Regions from separate parts of the Mus musculus genome. Here region 2 is reported to be linked to region 1. The links are microRNA targets in miRTarBase. Many come from high-throughput screens and were not tested one by one. Region 1 holds a microRNA gene; the other region holds the end of a gene's coding sequence. Distances are from middle to middle.
Evidence for each region. Region 1 holds the annotated microRNA mmu-miR-344f-5p (AGUCAGUCUCCUGGCUGGAGUC, at 6,726-6,747, opposite strand). A microRNA usually pairs through its seed, bases 2 to 8, with sites in the 3' UTR of a target mRNA and lowers its output. Matches are read on the target gene's strand: a 7mer-m8 pairs with bases 2 to 8, a 7mer-A1 pairs with bases 2 to 7 and ends in A, and an 8mer does both.

Region 2: miRTarBase lists Gga2 as a target of mmu-miR-344f-5p. Seed matches in the 3' UTR shown: 7mer-m8 at 2,005-2,011.

The regions. Positions count from the first base shown.
Region 1 is chr7:62,039,500-62,052,078 of GRCm38, forward strand. Mir344f (microRNA Mir344f) reads right to left here and starts at 6,749; the gene lies at 6,682-6,749.
Region 2 is chr7:121,982,884-121,990,176 of GRCm38, reverse strand. It overlaps Gga2 (golgi associated, gamma adaptin ear containing, ARF binding protein 2), which reads left to right. Exons shown (of 17, transcript NM_028758.2): 17 at 376-3,455. The coding sequence ends at 486. Among named protein-coding and RNA genes, the nearest start is that of Cog7, 4.8 kb to the right of the region's middle.

The DNA of each region.
Region 1 (12,579 bases):
CTGCTCTGATATGACAAGTGAGGCATGTGGGCCAGGCCTGCTGTCACTCTTCTTCCAGGGTCTAGGCAACAGGAGCTAATTTTCCAACTGAATAAATGACTATGGTAGAGATATACTATAGTTATGTATATAAATATAATAGCCTTGTTCATGTGGGTCCTCTTGAGGTCCATTTTGTATTCACGGTGTCCTGTACTCCTTTAATTGATAGCTAGTCCTTCTCTGGGAGACATGCAGTATCTTGTGTTATTATCTGCTTCCACACTCCATAGAGAACAGTCTTTAATATTCCCCTAATAAGAACTTTGGACTCTCTGTATAAATACAATTGAAGATTGGACCCCAATACTACTGAATTGGCAATTCACTATGTGATGTAATCCTGGTATATGAGTGGTAATAAAACACATGGTAACAGTGAACTCATATGGGCTCTACAAAATGTCAGAACATTTATTATTACATAGTATCTATAAACACATAAAAGTAAGATAATTAAACTTAAAGAAGGAATAACATATAAGAAAAATAATAAAGAAAAGAAAAAAATAAAAACCTACTGTCCTCTATGGAGAATGGTGATGTTTGCTTTCTTTCACTCGTACAACAGTCTTTGTATGTGTTGGTTACTTTAATGTCAAGTTGTCATTTGATATTGCCAGAGGAGAGATAGGACCATAATTTTAAAATGTCTCTATAATCTTTGTCTGTAAACAAAATTACAGAGCACTTTCTTAATTAGTGATTGATTTCATTGAACCCAGGCAATTTTGGCCCTAGGTTGTATAAGAGTGTAGGATCAATAATCTATGAGAGTAACCCAGTAAGCAATACCTATTTATATCTTTTGCATCAACTTCTACTTCCAATTTCCTTTTCTGTTTGAGTTTGTGGTCTGACTTCCTTCAATGATATACTATGATAATGAAGTACAAATTAACACACCCAGTCTTTTTCCCTAGTTGTTTTGCATGTTGGTGTTTCATTACAGCAACACTACACCTAACTAAGACAGAGATTGGTGCCAAGAGTGAGTTATTGCTGTTACAGAACTGACCATGTTGTTTTGTATAAGATTTTGGAAGGAGACTGAACTCTTGGGAAACTAAAAACATTGCATGCTGAGTTTACAGTGAATATGGCATAGGAGTTTTTAAGATAACAGGTGATGGTGTCCTGGCTTGTGATGTTTCTGAGAGAAGTAAAGACTCTACAAAGCCATTTCTGTGATGAATCTTTTGTGTCAGATCAGCTTTAGCTGATGTATTGGCTGTAACCAACATGAGACCAGGATCACTAAAGTAAGATTTTTACTGTTCTAGGCCTATGGATGCTGAAAATCAGCTGTGATTAAGAATAGCACAATACCCTCAACAGAGGAATGGATACAGAAAATGTGGTACATTTACACAATGGAGTACTACTCTACTATTAAAAAGAATAAATTTATGAATTTCCTAGGCAAATGGATGGACCTGGAGGGCATCATCCTGAGTGAGGTAACCCAATCACAAAGGAACCCCCAAAATATGTACCCACTGATAAGTGGATATAAGCCCAGAAACTTAGAATACCCAAGATATAAGATACAATTTGCTAAATGCATGAAACTCAAGAAGAACGAAGACCAAAGTGTGGACACTTTGCCCCTTCGTAGAATTGGGAACAAAACACCCATGGAAGGAGTTACAAAGACAAAGTTTGGAGCTGTGATGAAAGGATGGACCATCTAGAGACTTCCATATTCAGGGATCCATCCCATAATCAGCTTCCAAAGGCTGACACCATTGCACACACTAGCAAAATTTTGCTGAAAGGACCCAGATAGAGCTGTCTCTTGTGAGACTATGCTGGGACCTAGCAAACACAGAAGTGGATGCTCACAGTCAGCTATTGGATGGATCACAGAGCCCCCAATGGAGGAGCTAGAGAAAGTACCCTAGGAGCTAAAGGGATCTGCAATCCTATAGGTGTAACAACAATATGAACTAACCAGTAACCTCCCCCACCCCCTGCCCCGGAGCTCGTGTCTCTAGCTGCATATGAATCAGAAGATGGCTTAGTTGGCTATCATTGGAAAGAGAGACCCATTGGTCTTACAAACTTTATATGCCTCAGTACAGGGGAAAGACAGGGCCAAGAAGTGGGAGTGGGTGGGTGGGGGAGTGGGTGGGGGAGCATATGGGGGACTTTTGGGATAGCATTGGAAATGTAAATGAAATAAATACCCAATAAAAAAAGAACATTAAAAAATAAAAAAAGATAGTTCATCACCAAAAAAAAAAAAAAAAGAATAGCACAATAGTGAAGTTATATCAAATTGAGGTAAAGTCTTCTGGAAAGTGTTTCTTAAATGTCAACACACAGAGTGGTTGGAAAGGTTGCTCAGTGGTTATGAACATAGAATGTTCTTCCAGAGGACAAGGGTTCAATGTACAGCACCCACATGGCAGCTCACAAGTGTCTATAACTCCAAGATCTAATACCATTACCAAACATACAGGGTAAACACCAATACACGTTTAAAAAAAAACGAGTCAACACACAGATGTGTTCCATGATCTTTTAAGGTGATTCCTCCTGTTAGCAGCCAATACCAGTACTGTAAATGTCATACAGCTCTGGATTTGAAGGCATGAGAGCTGTAGGGCAAGTGTGAGCTGAAAGAATGGGACTGGAATAGGAGTGAGGTTGGTAGGTTTCTAACCCCCTAAAATCACTTCATAAAACTACAGTCTTATCTTGACAGCAGCAAGAATAAGGACTCCCTCCCTAAATTCTTTGCCTGAATGCTGCAGGGCATATAGCCCCACAATCCCCACCTCCATGCTTCCATGCTTCCATACTTTTCTTCTTGATGATAATTGACTAAACTTTTGAAATATTAAGTCAGACAATGAAATATTTTCCTTTATTAGATTTGTCATGGCTATGGTGTCACTTTACAGCAACAGAAACCTCAAGACAATGTATAATCCAAATTGTTTCTCTCCAAGTTGCTTTTGGTAATGGTATTTCATCCCAGGCATAATAATCATAAACAAGACAGTAAGTAGGTAGCATATTTTAATACATGGCAGCAAGTAAAAAAGGCAAACTGTGAAGAACAAAAGGCTTACCCATTTTCTCTTGGTAGACATCTAGCAAAGTATAGAATTTAGACTAAGGAGTGAAGTTATGTCAAATTTCTCATGTGTTGTGGGAAGTTATTGAACTAGCCATAGTATAGCCTAATAGAAAACTAGTACTCTGAATATACAAATTCAAATTTGTATATTAATCTAATTAACTAGTTTTTTTTCCTGAGAGATACCATTTCTTAAGGAACACCATAAAGAATCAGCTAGAGTACCTTGTGCATTTCTTGAATAAAAATGATTAAATGAAATTTCAAGAATTTACAAAATTAACTCATCCACTATTAGTTATGCAATTTACTACTGGACCATTTAAATTACTATTTTATGTAATAATGGATGCTTGTGATTTCATGCCATATAAATATGTGAACATAAACTCAACTTGGCCTTTAAAATTTGGTTTCTAGTTCAATGTCTTTTCCAATATTATCAATATGGTGATCTAGTTATCCACAATTAACTAAACTCAATTCTGATGAAATCTGAGGAGAAAGGCATATACAAATATTAAGTGACACTGCAAAGCCTCTAAGCAGAAATGCAAGGGAACTACCCCTCAGGTACAGGGTGATAGTGGCTCCTATTATCTGTTATATCTATTATATTCAAACCAATCACCCAATGGAGGTTTTGAGACCTTTTATAGATTCCAATAAATAATGTGTCCCTTTCTACCCCACTTCTCTCCTTCCTAATTTTTCTACCATGTTGAAAATGTTGAAAGTTTATATCTTGGTACTCACATCATATGTACATATAAGAAGCACAAATTGAAATAATTGGATTTGAAGAAGAGTGAAAATATGTATAGAGAAGGATGTAGAAAGAAAGCAAAGAGGACTATGTTATGATTAAATAAAGATTTCAAAAGAAAAAAATTGAAAGGAAATTTTTATATAAAAGTTATTTCCTTAAGGATATGGCCAGTCCTCTTAACTTGCCTGATTTCAAAACTGGAGTGTCCAGACAAGGAAGAGTAAACAAATATATTTATCACACAGCAGAAACAATATTTACCAAAAAACTGGTTGTGGATTAGAACATAGAATCTGTGATACTCTTGATTCCAGCTTTACAGTTTTTTTAATATTTTTATTACATATTTTCCTCAATTACATTTCCAATGCTATCCCAAAAGTCCCCCATATCCTCCCCCTCACTTCCCTACCCACCCATTCCCATTTTTTTATGCTACCTGATGATTATTGGCTAGAAGTCAGCACATGACCTGTCACAAAACCACAAGCTATCGCCAGTTGATTACTGCAAGCAAATGGAAAATTAAGTTTCCTCTAGTGGAGCTTCATCGCATATGCAAATTAACTTTAAAGGTCCGAAACTCAGAAGTAGATCGCACACAAAAAAGTACTCAAAGGCATTTTTGAGTTTCTTTTTCTTATAATACTCACTCAGTGTTTGTTTTGTTTTGTTTTGTTTTGTTTTGTTTTGTTTCTGTTGTTGTTGGTGGTGTTTTCTTGTTTATTTACATGTCCTTTTTTTGTGGGCATGCCTATAATGGATAATGGTTTATGGTATTGTGTTTTGGTGCCACTTATTTTTGTGTGAACATGTGTGCCTCTGCATAATTTCATTTGGCTATTTTACTTCTGTTTGTTTCTTTCGTGTGTCTTACTGTGATTTGTTTTATTTTAATGATTGCTCAGTAGTAGTAGTAGTAGTAGTAGTAGTAGTAGTAGTAGTAGTAGTAAATTCATGTCTATATTCTCTTTAAAGAGACAAGGAAAAAGTGTAGATTAGATTTGGGTGGGTGGGATTTGGTATGAGACTGAAGGAAAGGCCATTCAGATACTGCCCCATGTGGGGATCCATCCCATATAGAGTCACCAAACACAGACACTATTGTGGATGCTGGGAAGAGCTTGCTAACAGGAGCCTGATATGGCTGTCTCCTGAGAGGCTCTGCCAGAGCCTTATGAATACAGAGGTGGATGCTCATAGCCAACCATTGGACTGAGTGCATGGTCCCTGATGGAGGAGTTGGAAAAGGGACTGAAGGAGCTGACACTTGGAGGGGAGCAATAGTGTCAACTGGCCAGATCTCTCATAGCTCCCAGGGACTGGACTGCCAGTCAAAAAGTACACATGGAGGGACCCATGGCTTGGGCCACATATGTGGCAGAAAATGGCCTTATTGGACATCAGTGGGAGGAGCAGCCCTTGGACCTGATGGCGTTTGATATCCCAGTATAGGGGAATGCCAGAGCACAAGGGCTGGAAGACAGACAGAACTGGATGGGTGGTTGAGGAAGCACCCTCATGGAGACAGGGGGAAGGGAAATGGGAAAGGAGGTTCCCAAGGGGAGACCTGGAAAGGGGAAAACAATTGAAATATAAATAACAAAATATCCAATTTTTAATAAACAAACAAACAAATAAATAAAACAAAAGAATAAAGTCCTAAGTAAGGTTAAAAAAAAGTTTGGCTCAGGGAAAACACAATCATATATTGTATGAAATAAAATCTACCTTCAATAAAACAATACCACCCATTAAAAAAGTGAATGTTTCAGCTCTGACCTTTCTCTCAGAGTTTTAGTTTGCCAGATAAGAGATATATGTAGATAGCAGTTCTCCTCATATTAGGTCCATGAAGGGAGTCTGAGGAACAGCAGCTCTCCTGTCTCTGTTATATACTGAAGGCTGGGATGCTTATGGAATAGTACCTCTCCTTTCTCTGTTATATACTGAAAGCTGAGATGCTTATGGACCAGTAGCTCTCCTGTCTCTGTTATATACTGAAAGCTGAGATGTTTATGGACCAGTAGCTCTCCTGTCTCTGTTATATACTGAAAGCTGAGATGTTTATGGACCAGTAGCTCTCCTGTCTCTGTTATATACTGAAAGCTGAGATGTTTATGGAACAGCAGCTCTCCTGTTTCCTGTTATATACTGAAGGCTGGGATGCTTATGGCAGATTAAAGCCAAAATCCAAGGGTAAATCATATATATATATGTCTATATAAAATTTATACTTCTCTCATACAGTGTATCATAAATGCAACCTCCCCTCCCTCCCTGTTCCCTGTCTCCTCTGGAACATATGTTCCTCCTTTTCCCTTCAGAAAAGAACAGGCTTCCCATTGATACTAACTAAACATAGCAAAAAAAAAAGATGCAATAATACGAGAAAACAAAACAAAACAAAAAACCTTTAAATCATGGCTGAATGAGGCTACCTAGTAGGAGAAAGCAAGTCCCAAGAGCAGGGAGAAAGAGTCAGAGACATCCTCACACTGACAGTGGGCAATCCCACAAAACCCCCAAGCTTAATAAGCAGACACTTGCAAAGAACCTAGGCTCCATGACTACTGCTTCAGTCTCTATTAGTCCCTCTGAGCAATATATTTTTAAAAAAGAGCAATGGATAAGGAAGAAGGAACACATTTCCTAAAGAGGAAATAGAAGCAAATAATTCAATAAACGTGCAGACTCTTTTAGCAAGTACCTGTCTATGCTGGTTTTCCATTGGCTCTGTTTCCTGGCATATCTTAATATGGGTCCTCCTTCACTGCTAAGTAGGTTGTAGTCAGGTCCTGGCTAGAGCCTGGAACCAGCTTAGAGCTGGACTCCAGCCAGGAGACTGACTGGCAAAACCCCTCTCTTCAGGGACTTATATTAGCACCATTTGTCTATGATTGGCTGAGTGTGTGCATTCAAAATAAGAATGGGCTTAGGACCAATCAAGTGAGAGATCTCAAAACTAGCTATGTAAATCAATAGCCTTCTGTAACCAGGGAGATTTCTATACAAGCTTGTATGTATCGCCTCTCCTCTCTGTGTGCTGCAGCAGGCAGGAACAGTGAAATGAGAAATAATAAATAAATGCAATTTTACATGGTTCCACTTGACAAAAGGCAAAAACAGCCAGTGGTGTGTGGGGGCTCTGAGCATGTATCTGGTTGCTTGGGAATAGATGCTCTTGTAAAAGGAAGTGTCTTTGTCTGTCTGGACCCTTCTGATTATGATTTTGAGCTGCCAGATGCAGCTGCTGCTGATGCTTTCTACCCAGCTGCGCCACTGTTTACAAGCGCAGTGATTATAAGAATGAGCCATCACACTAGATTAGAACTTTATGTCTATTAGAATGATTAGACTACAGAAAAAGCAGATTAGATTTAAAAAAGAAATATATCTAATGAACATGAAATGGCTTAAAGTATAGTCATTGTAAAGAAATAATTTAACAGGTAGTATGAAAATTTATTTTAAGACAGGTCCATAATTATTCTCTGCCTCTGCCTCTCTCTCTCTCTCTCTCTCTCTCTCTCTCTCTCTCCCTCTCTCTCTCTCTCTCTCTCTCTCCCTCTCTCTCTCTCTCTCTCTCTCTCTCTCTCTCTCTCTCTCTCTCTCTCTCTCTCTTTCTCTCTCTCTCTCTCTTTCTCTCTCTCTGCTTGCATTTGTGAACTCATACATTTCTGGTGTGAGGAGTGAGCATATTGTGCATCCAGGTAACAAACAAAAGACAAATCTACATTTTTCCCCACTAGCAGCTTCATTTCTTAAGACATATTTTATTCATTATAAATATTATGTGTTTTTAATACCTACCCTACATTCTATAATCTAAAATCCTACACTATCTCTACTATTACTACTCTATCTGTACTTATATGAATCTCTCTATTCTCTTTATGTATGTGTGCATGTGTTTGTGCATGGCTGCATTTTCATTTCTCTCTGTCTCTCTCTCTCTCTGTCTCTCTGTGTCTCTCTTCTCTTTCTGTCTGTGTGTGTGTGTGTGTCTGTGTGTATTTCTGTGTATGCATGTGTGTGACTACCTTCTTATTCTTATTGATATAATTTAATTGCATTTCTTCTTTCTCTTTCTTCCTTCAATTTTCCAATAAACCACATCACAATATCTTTCAAATTTATGTCCCCCTTTTACTAATTTTTGTTGGATGTATACATGCATATACCTATATATTCTTAAATATAATCTGATTAGTAAGTTTAATGTTACTTCAATACACATTCTCAAAGGTGATCTTCTGTTAAAACACAAATAATTTGTGTGATCTTCGCTGAGAATGGCCACATCTTCCTTTTCCAGATTTCCTCAGTTGCATGTTGTTCTATAAGTATGGTGGAGTCCTTGTGAACACTTTCCCATCAAGTTTAGCTCAATTTTGGATGTTCAGGTTACTGAAATTTAATTGATGGAGCTTTTAAAATTATTCATAGAAACATTATTATAACAAAACTCGCTGATCACCTGGCTCTGACATTTATTTTTGCTACTTCACTTTATTGTACCACAAACATTAGGTGTAAGAATATTTTGTGGATAGATCTACTATGAACTTGCAAGCTGTAATTGAGGAGGCTTGTGGAAGTCTATGAAGGTGACTCTAGCTAAGAATCCTAGCAGTAGGGGATATGGACCCTAAAGTGAATACCTCTTATAGCCAGGGAGGACTTCCAGTGAAGAGATAATGAAACTATCTCACAATAAAAACTTCAACCCCAAATTTTTCCTATCTACAAGAAGTGCAGGGACAAAGATTTCATATTCACTGGGAGAAAGACAAACCAATGCCTGGCCCAACATGAGATCTATCCCTTCGGCAAGAACTAAATCATAACACTATTAATGATACTTTGTCAGGAACCTAGTATACAGGAATTGAGTATAACTGTTCTCTGGAAATCACCACTCAGCAGCTGACCAAAACAGATGCAGATATCCACATCCAAACATGAGATGGAACTCAGGAAGTCTTGTGAAAAATTTGGAGGAAGTATTGAGGAATCTGGAGGTGATAGGGACACCAAAAGAACATACAAATAAAAATAATGGGCAAGCTTCCAAAGGAGAAAGGCAATCAAAAGTCATATATAGCTATCATGGCTGTAAACCTCATCAGTTAACAGCATAGCATAATAACCTCAAGTGTGCAGTGGCAGCATACATAACTTTGTGGCATCTACTAACACTCTAATTGATAATATGTCCTGTTCAGAGGGAAACAATATCCTAGTACTAGAAACATAGTTAATTACTTGGTGCTACTGAAGTTATGGATAGTGGAGAATTGTCAACCACAAACTTATTAATCAAATATAACAACAAAATATTGTGTAATAGTCTAATCTCATAACAATTTATAAACATTTGTCTGAATATGCTAAGATAAATTTACTCATCTCCATTCATAAAGAAACTCCTCAGTGTAAAAGATGATTATTTCAGAAAAACCATAACCAGTCATACTATAGAGTTGTACAGCCCATTCTCCCTCTCTTCTTAATATCAACTTGTCAATTTAGGCTATGTAAGTGTTCAAGGATGTATGGATCTCTAATATAATCGTGGTATCTTCTGAGGCCAAACATTACTGAATAAAACAAATTCTCCCTTCTCCAGCAGTCCATCAAATGCCAAAGATATCTAAAATAAGAGTGGGACTTCCTGAGGGTTCTATCACCCCTGCTAAGATTTTATCTTCCTTGATCTATAGAAGTTTTGTGTATGCAGATTTAACTGCTTACAGCTCATTTGCATAACTCTGATATTGTACCTACTACCTTTGCTTAATTTGATACATTTATGTTCACCAAATTTACCAAAAAAATAGTTTGGCTGGCCAGAAAAACTTAGCAATCTTAACTGCATGCCATGGAATTGCATGCCAAAAACACTATACGTGGATTTTTACCTGTGTATTCTAGCAATTAAATCAGAAGCTCATAATTTCAGAGGAATTATATTGCCCAACGGGCCACCATTAGACCCAGGCATAGTTGACGTTAAAAGAAAAAAGAATAACCCACTGACTATAATTCAAGGACCACAAGAATATTTGCTCTACATATTCCAAAAATCACTTTGTACCACAACACTGAAGATCATCATCTCTGAGATATTCCAAAAGTTTCAATGTTGATTCTCTGCAATCTTAGAAAATAGGAAAGTACCTGCATCATTCTTTTGTCAGCCACAGGTAGTATAATTACTCTCCACTAATTTCTGCATCACATTCAAGACAGACAAGCTTCTAACAAAATATTCTTTCATATTGTCATTTCCAGTAAGGTTGATTTAAGAATTTCTTACAATATTAAAGTAGAAAAGAGAGTCCCCTATGTCTCTCATTTTTATATTTCATCTACTCCTTACCTCCATGCTATGTTGAAGTGAACACTAAAGATAAGAACAGTACAAAACCTATAGGTAAACTTCAATATTTCATCAACTCCTCTCAAATGTCATTATTTCACAAATCATAGCCCTCATCATGATAATAGAGTTTTAGTTATTCAAAATTACACGTTAATTGTTCATGATAGAGTGTAATGTGAATGATAATCAGTAGTCTTATTATATGATCAAGGAAATGTGTTATACCAAACACTGTAACCCTAGTCATCTGTTCACAGACAGTGAGATTACCAGTCTTGCAAAACAACCTACAGCGGCCAACTTACTGAACCAGTATGCTTTATAATCACATTCTAAATATATATCTTTATATCCACAGATTAATGCAACATTCACCATCAGCAAAACAACTTCATTTTGCAGCACAAAGAGACCTTTACAGTATGCCCCTGGTCAAAATTCATCTGACTTTGGTATGCCTAATAACAACAGTTAAATTTAAAACCATCATCAGCATCAAGCTTCAGAGTATTATGGAAGAGATAGAAAAATACTGTAAATCCAAAGGAATCCTTGAATGCAGAAATTAGTCATTAGATATACATAATTATATGTTTGTAACTATAAAACACATAACAATATGCCTCGAATTTGAAATCAAATGGGACATATATGAGTGTTGCTGTGGATGAAAGATGGAATGGTATAAGTAATCATTAGATCATATAGACATGTATGAATACATGAAAAATACTTTAAAAATTCCTAAAATGTATACACTTCAGAATGTAATTTAATGGATTCACCTTACAAAAGAGGATAGTTCAACTAAACATTTAAGCCACCAAGTAAAATGTATAGTATTGGAAATGGGTTATTTTTGATTCATTTATTAATGGAGTCATATAGACTCTACAGCTATCACAGGTTACAGCCAAGGATATCTTCTACTTTATAGAACCTAATTGTGAGGCCTATTGCTGGAAATGCAGCTTATTTATCACATTATACACAGAGAAATCGTGCTCATGAAAATTAGAAGCTTTACTATTTCTGACTAGAAATCCTGGTATTGGGAGATACTCTACACATAACTGGTGGAAAGAAGAAATCATCAATGCTACCCAGATACAAATGATGCAACCTACATTAATGATATGCTTGTATAATACACTGGTGAAATCATTGTACAAAAGTCATTGGAGTAATCTTTCAGTTTTATGAATTTATGATGTAACCCACAAAGCAGAACCAATAGAGAACATTGTTACTGTGAAAAACAAAAAAAAACAAACAAACAAAAAAAAAAAAAAACACCTGAGACTAGATGGGACAAGGCTTGTGGAAAACCTGTTAATATTATTTAGCTAAAGGAATCTAGTATTAAAATTCCTCCCATAGATAAACATGCTCTTCAATAATCATTAACAAAGATCCTACTTGTAGTAGATAGGAAATAACATAAGGATTCACAACTGTACAATAGCCTAAGTATGAGAAACTTTGAGCACTTGCTCCTAAATGAGATGTCTTAAGCAAACATATCAGTTCATGCCTCAAAGATTTCAACAGAAAATGGGATTAAGAAGACTGTCAGAGCCAAAGATAGTGAATAACTCCAAAGAAAAAAGAATCTTCTAGACAAGTACACCTGGTAAATTTGAATTCACAACGTTTTTTATAGCAAATAAGACTTGCATGACTTAAATTGTATTTCTTAATCCTCAAAGGCCAAGCAATACACTTCCTCAACAGTAGAACCTTTTCATTCAGTTCTGTTTTTTCCTTCTGCCATGACCTTTTAAGGCATTTTTTATTATATAGTTTCTTAATTTACATTTCAAATGCTACCCCAAAGCCTCCTATGTCCTCTCCCTGCCCTGCTCTCCAACCCATCCATTCCCACTGCCTGGCCCCGACATTCTCCTATACTGGGGCATATGATCCTCACAATACCAAGGGCATCATTCAGTTCTTAAATAAAGCCAACACCTGCTGCAAACATCTTTACTCTTTTAGAAACTGCTAGGTTTTCTGTGGCCAATAACTACTAGGGAAGTAACCTATTAATAGCCCTAGAATTTCCAATGCACAATGTTGTGGCTTCAACAAATATCTGCTTGTATTTTTTTCTGTACCTTTTAACAGAATCTCCTCTCCTATGCACCATTTGTAAAATTATTATCAATGCATGATACTTTAAATGCATTCCCATGTTTATTAAATGAGTCTTCAAAGCTGCAAAACATTCAAAGATTACACAGTGATAGCTACAATAAAAGGGGGATATACAGTATATGGACAGAACAATGATGC
Region 2 (7,293 bases), 60 Mb from region 1:
TTACTCTTTGGGACTGCTGGGGTGGGCTGGGCTTCCAGGATACATGCCTGGCACTGGTATTTGTAGTTCTAAAGAGACTAAGCCAGGGTATTCATGGCATTCCATTACTCTACCTCTTCATTTGGGGGAATTATGTAAACACACCGAGCCAAGTATAGTGGTGTACAGTAATACCAGCACTCCAGAGGAAGAGATAGGCCTGATTTACACAGCAAGTTCCAGGCTAGCCTAGGCCACACAGTAGACCCTGTCTCAAAAATAAATAAGCTGTAAGCTGTTCCTTGGAGAGTCTTAAGTTGGGTGGAAGCTTTTACTATAGGCTTGACTCTTTTTCCTACTGATTGATTTAACATCTTAGCCTCTCTTCTGTCCTAGGAACCTATCCGGTTGCGGTATAAGCTGACTTTCAACCAAGGTGGGCAGCCGTTCAGTGAAGTAGGAGAGGTGAAAGACTTTCCAGACCTGGCTGTCTTGAGCACCGCCTGACTTTTCAACCAAGACTCTTCAGTCACGCTTAGGCCAGCGTCCTTTTACTGTCTGGTCGGGACTTGTTGTAATGTAGTGCAGAGTGCCAAGGATTCTCTCCTGATGTTAGGCCTTGATTGCCAATGTGTCTGTTGATCATGTATGTGTGGGTGCGTGTGTGTTACTGGGGTGCTGGGGGAGGAGGGAGAGCTGGGCTTGGGATTTGGGCAGTATGGGGGATGCTGACCACCTCTGAGATCATCTCTGCTGCACTCATACCTGCTTCTGCATGTTGGTTGACAATGTTGCCCCTGCCTCGAGTTGGAGTTTTATAAGCCAAAGTTTTTTCCATGTATTGTTAATCTTTTCATTCATCCACTCTGTGCCTTGTCAGCCTTTGAAAGTCTTAGTTGCTCCCAGGCTGCTATTCTCAGGGACCTTAGAAAGGGACCTGGTTGGTCTTGCGACAGAGAGTGTCTTCTGGGGCACACTCTTCCAAGAATGGCCTTGTCTTCATTTTTCATTAGCAAATGCTGCTTGCAGATATTCAGTAAGACCTTCTAAATGGAATGTTTGTTGTACTGGTTCAGGCAAGGGGCTTGCCATGAAACCAGGAGACCACACTTGTTGGGCCAATCATGTCCTTCACTACAGTGCCTTAGATACTCCCTTAGACGGACCCTCTTGAGGCCTTGCTCAGGCCTTGGGTTCTGTGGGTTGGGCAGCCTGTCTGGGCCCTTACTCAGGACCCACAATGTCATCTTCATTCTTTCTGTTCACAAACATCTCAGAGCTCTTTCATTGTGACCCTGTGTTCGTTGTTGTGAATCATAGTTAAGGGGGGCCAGCCCTGAGCCCTCACAATCCAAGGTGGGGAGCTGCGATGCAGGTAGAGAGCCATGTGGTGACTAAGTACAGAACATCATTGAATAAATACTGTGTTCAGATCTGCCTGGTGTTGAGTCCACAGGGGATGCATTTAGAGGGGACAGGCTGGCGGGGAATGGTTTTCTGTCAACAAGTGAGGACATGATGAGCAGTGTTCTGACGAGCTGAAGGAGCTGGAGAAGAGGGGTGGGTGTTTGCCTCAGGTGTCCCCAGAAAGGAAACTCAAGCTACTGGTTGACTCGAGAGCACCTACTATGTGCTGGGTTCTTTGGCATGCATGCTTCAACAAGTTCTGCTTGGCTGGGTCCATGGGAGAAGGAACCCTGAGGTCTGAAATGGGTGCTGAGGGCTGGAAAGTCCTGGCATCCAGTCTTGCGGGTTCTGCCTCAGAAACTGGAGGGCCATCTCTCAATTATGACATGTTCATCTAGTTGGATATCCAACAATAATTTTCTTTAGGTGTATATTAATATTGATAATTTCAGTAGATTTTTAGGATAGCTTCTGGCTGCTGTTTTTGTTTGTTTTTGAGACAGTCACTGTAGCCCTGGCTGGCCTGGAATTCACCATGTAGACCAAGCTGGCCTCACACTCACAGTGATCCACTGCCTCTGCCTCCTGAGTGCTGGGATTAAAGGTCTGCGCTACAATGACTGACTTTAAAAAAAAAAAAAATAGGTCTCATGTAGCCCAAGCTGACCTCAAACTCACTGTGGAAACTGAAAGAGAGTGACCTTCAACTTCTGATCCTCCTGCCTCCAACTCATGTGTACCAAGTCCTGACAAGATGGAACCCCAAGCCTGTGCATGCTAGGCAAGCACTTGTCCAACTGAGCTGCATCCCCAGCCCCCTGGTTTTTTGTTGTCTCAAGCTATAGTCCAACCTGACCTGGAACTCAAATACCATGTTCAAAGAAACATGATATAGTAGCCAATATACACTACACACTTGTGGAAACAGGCTAGAGCAGGGCATCCAAGGTTTTTTGCCTTTAAGTTCCCAGGAACACGCTCCTCACAGCCCTGTTCCCAGATGCAGCTTCAATATCACAGTTGCCAATGCACTGTCAGTCACAGGAGGGAGCCGGGCGGGCATGGTGGTGCACGCCTTTAATCCCAGCACTCTGGAGGCAGAGGCAGGCAGATTTCTGAGTTTGAGGCCAGCCTGGTCTACAGAGTGAGTTCTAGGACAGCCAGGGCTACACAGAGAAACCCTGTCTCTGGAAACCAAAACAAACAACAACAACAAAAACAGTTACAGGAGGAAAAGGGGAAATGCCAAGGCTTTCTGGAAACTTCCCATGATGTCTGCCTTCACATCTTGTCCTGTATGGGTATTTGGCCACACCTAGCTGCAAACCACACTGGGAAGGTATGGATGTTGTGTGCAGTGCAACACAGTATAAACTTGGGGTCTAGTTACCATGGAAGGAGAGATTCGATAGTATGGTACAAAATTAGCAAGCAGTCTTCCCTCTACTGTGAGAGAAGCCTGCTTTCAAACTATTGCTAAGTGAAAATGCAGGTTATTCTTCTTTGTTGTTCTGGCCATCAAATTTATGGCTTTAAGGTTACTACTGCTGTGATAAAACACCTTGTGGAGGAAAGAGTTTATTGGCTTACATTTCCACCTCACAGGAAGGCAGGGCAGAAACTCAAACAGGGCAGGAACATGGAGGCAGGAGCTGATGCAGAGGTCGTGGAGGGGTGCTGCTTACTGCCTTGCTCCTTGTGGTTTGCTCAGCTTGTCTTACAGAAGCCAGGACCACCATCTTGGGAATGGTCCCACCATAGTGGGCTTGACCCCTCTCTCCATTAATCACTATTTAAGAAAATGCCCTACAGACTTGCATGCAGACTCATCTTATGGAGGCATTTCTTTATTACAGTTCCCACCTCTCAGACGACTGTGTCAAGTTTACATAAAACTAACCAAGCTACATCCTTATCCCCTTGTTCTAGCTTTAAACCAAACATTTCCCCCCAGATATTTGGATATACACATAACTGGCCATGGTTGGGTCTTGGAATTACAGGTGGGTTCTTTTCAACTTCATTTCCGTTTACTGAAATTTCTAAACCAAATAAAGCTGAATTTCTTATGTTTAGTGTCACTGTTTTGATGGGTATTAAACATGATTCAAAATTAAAATATAAAAGGTGGAAATTCTGGGCTGGGGCGATGGCTCTTCAAAGCACTTGCTGTGCAAGAGTGAGGCCCTGAGTTCCATTCCTAGAACCTACATAGAAAAGCTGAGTGTAGTGGCAAGCACAAGTAGAGAGAGTACAATCCCCGGCACTGGCGCTTGCTAACCAGCCAGTTGGTGCGTAGCAGGCCCTGTGAGACCCTGTCTGAAAAAGTAAGGTGGATGGTGTCTGGGCACAGGAAATTGGTCTCTGGCCTCCACAGGTACACATATGCACACATACGGAATAGAAGTTCCCTCATCTGCTTTCCAGAGCCACACTAGGAATGCTAAGCAGACGATTGTGACACTAGATAGCTGGGGGAGAGTAGGTACACCAAGAGCAAAGGATGGCTCAGTCTCCTTTCACCTGAGCTATAAACCAGGTGTCTTTAGTTCTCTCTCCCCCACCACGCTTGTTTGTAGGATCTGCCTGAGAGTCACCTTCGGTCTTTTCTCTCTCACATGCACCCTCTTGAGCAAGCCACCTAGTCTGCCTTAGCACTGTTTTATGTAGCACAGGTTGACTTTGATCCCCTTGCCTCTACCTCTCACGTGCTGGGATATAGGTGTGTACCACCACAGCTGACTCCTTATACTCTTGGTAACAATGTTTAAAATGTAGTTAGGGGCCACCAGATGGCTCAGCAGGTGCGGTACCTGCATGTGTCAAGCCTGACCACCTGAGTTTGATTCTGGGAACACGAGGAAACACTGAGTGCCTCAAGTTATGACTTCCACACAGAGTCTCACTGTAGCTCGGCTGGCTTGGAGATTGTTATATAGACCAGGGTGACCTTAAATTCATAGCGATCCATCTGTCTTTGTCTCCTTAGTGCAGGGATTAAAGATGTGAACCACAGAGGCAGGTGGATTTCTGAGTTCGAGGCCAGCCTGGTCTACAGAGTGAGTTCCAGGACAGCCAGGGCTACACAGAGAAACCCTGTTGCAAAAACAAAACCAAAACCAAAAATGGATGTGAACCAATGTGCTCCACTCAGCAATTGTTTTGACATGGGCAGGTGTGGAACTTCCATATAAAGCTAGTTCTGGCTGACTGAATTTGTGTTAAAGCCAGGAAGTAACACTCAAGTGTCCCTCACCACTTAAAAACAGAAAAATCTCTTGAACGTAGGCTCTTTGATTCAGAATGACCTTGAACTCTTAGGTCCCAAGTGCTTGCATTAAGGATGTCCACCACTATGTCTGGCTTATCCAGGTCCATTTGGCATGTCTCAAAAAAAAAATTGTTGGCTTGGGGCCAGAAAGGTTAAGCGTATGCACTGCTCTTGCAGAAGACCCATGTCTGGAGGCTAACAACAATCCGGATCTGTGATTCTCTCTTCTGGCCTCTGCATGTACCTGAACTGATGTTCACAACTCATAAACTATACATATACAATATTAAAATTAAATATTTTTAAAAGTGTAGGCTTAGGGTCAGGACTAGGAGACAGACTGACATGTTTCTAAGGAGCCGCTGGCAGCATGGACACATCTGAAAAGGTCCCTGGGGAGTGAGGGAAAGGTTGGTGGGACCTGAGGGGTCTCTGTGTCGGGAGGCTGGTGCTTGAAGAGGATGGTTTGTGGTCACTATTTACTGGGGTTTCTCACTATTCCCTCTCCCTGCTGCAGAGGGCATCTTTGTTGTGGGAGGCACACTGGAATGACCCAGAACCACCATTTATCAGCAGAGAAGCTGCATTCCCTGCCTGAGGTTGTGTCAGGTTTCTGAGTTACTGGAGAGCCCAACTGACCACATAGCCCTAGCTAATCTCAAGACTTCATTCATAAGAGCTCAGTATAAAGGGAACGCTGGGTCAGACTTGAGAATGGTTTAAACTTGGAATGTGTTCCCCTTCTTAGTTTCCTTTTCTGTTCTAAGCTGTGGGAATTTAAGGCAGAAAGTTTATTTTAGCTTATAGTTCAGTGTAACAAATCAAAGCAGGAAGATCTTGAAGCAGGCGGTCATATTGTATCCATATTCAAGAAACAGCTAATAATCAGCCTGGCTTTCTCCATTTTATAAGGTTCTGGACCTTCTTGCCCATTGGAAGTGTCCTTCCCACAATGAAGCTGGGTCTTCCTTCTTTGATTAACATAATCAAGATAGTCCCTTACCCAGGCTTGGTAACACATGCCTTTAATCCCAGCACTCTAGATGTAGAGACAGTCTGATCTCTGAGCTTTGAAGCCAGCCTGGTCTAAGAGATGATCCCTCGTAGGCATGTCCAGAGGCCCATCTTCTATGTGATTTTAGATCCTGCCAAGCTGACTGCCCTAACAATCCACCCCCCCCCACAGCTTTGTGGATGTGGAATGCTATAGAAACAGTGTAACAGCCACTGCTGTGAGCACATGCTGCTCTTTCAAGGACCCAGGTTTGGTTCGCAGCATCCATATTGGGAGGCTCACAGCTGCCTGTAACTCCAGCTTTAGGGGATCCAATGTCATTTTCTGGACTCTGGGTACATCCATTCATAAGTGACCAAACCCACACAGAGATATGCATATATACACATAATTAAATCTTTAAAAAAATAAATCTTAAAAGAAGAAACAACAACAACAAAAATAGCCTGGGCCTCAATGACACCAGTGGACACATAGCACAAAGAAAATATACTCAAAAAATTAGCCAGGTAAACCAGAGAACAAGCTTTGTTTCAGAGATAAAGGTGTACTTGATGATGATATTAGGTTAGTACTTAAGGAAGATAAAAGTTACAAATGCACATATACCTAATATCAGAGCCCTGAAGAACCTGAAGCAAAAATAAATGCAGCTGGGCAGAAAAGTGGCAGTACAACAAGATGAATTCCACCCGTGGGTTGGTTTGTTTGTTTTTTGAGACAGGGTCTCTTTATACAGCCCCTGGCTGTTCTGGAACTCACATTGAGGACCAGACTAGCCTTGAATTCCCCTTGGCCTGCCTCTGCCTCCTGAGCATTGAAAGGTGTGTGCCCAGCTAACAATAATGAGTTGGAAACTTAGTCTTTCAGCAGCAATTGGTGGGACAACTCAGAAGATGATCAAGGACATATGTTTTGAAGGACACTAATGATCATCTTTACTAAAATACATGGAACACTTATTCAATGACTGCATATATTTCTTTCTTTTCTTATTCTTTTTTTTTTTTTTTTTTTTTTTTTTTTTTGAGACAGGGTTTCTCTGTATAGCCCTGGCTGTCCTGGAACTCACTTTGTAGACCAGGCTGGCCTCGAACTCAGAAATCCACCTGCCTCTGCCTGCCGAGTGCTGGGATTAAAGGCGTGTGGCACCACACCCGACTATATATTTCTTTTTTGCTGTTTGGTTTGTTTTTGAGACAGGGTCTTGCTACGTATGCCTAAATGATTTCAAACTTAAGGAATCTTCCTCTTTCTGCATCCCCAGTGCTGGGATTGCAGGCGTGTATCACCACATGAAGTCAGACATGTGATTTTCTTCCTCCCTTCTCTGCTTCCTCTTCTTTATATTGAATATTCATGTCCATAGTGCTGTGTTTCATAAAGACAATCTACCTAACTGTACTATGCATTTTACCCCTGTTCCCTTCTGCATATCTTCCCTCTTTCCCACCTCCACCTTCCATTCTTTTTCCTCCCGTGTCTTTCCTCTGCTCTCATGTTAGATATTCTTTTAGGTGTTTATACAATCTGGATCCAGAACTGAGAGAAAACGTGAACTTCGTCTTCTGGCTTCTTTTGCTTATTACCTTTAGCTGTATCCATTCCCCACAACACCATG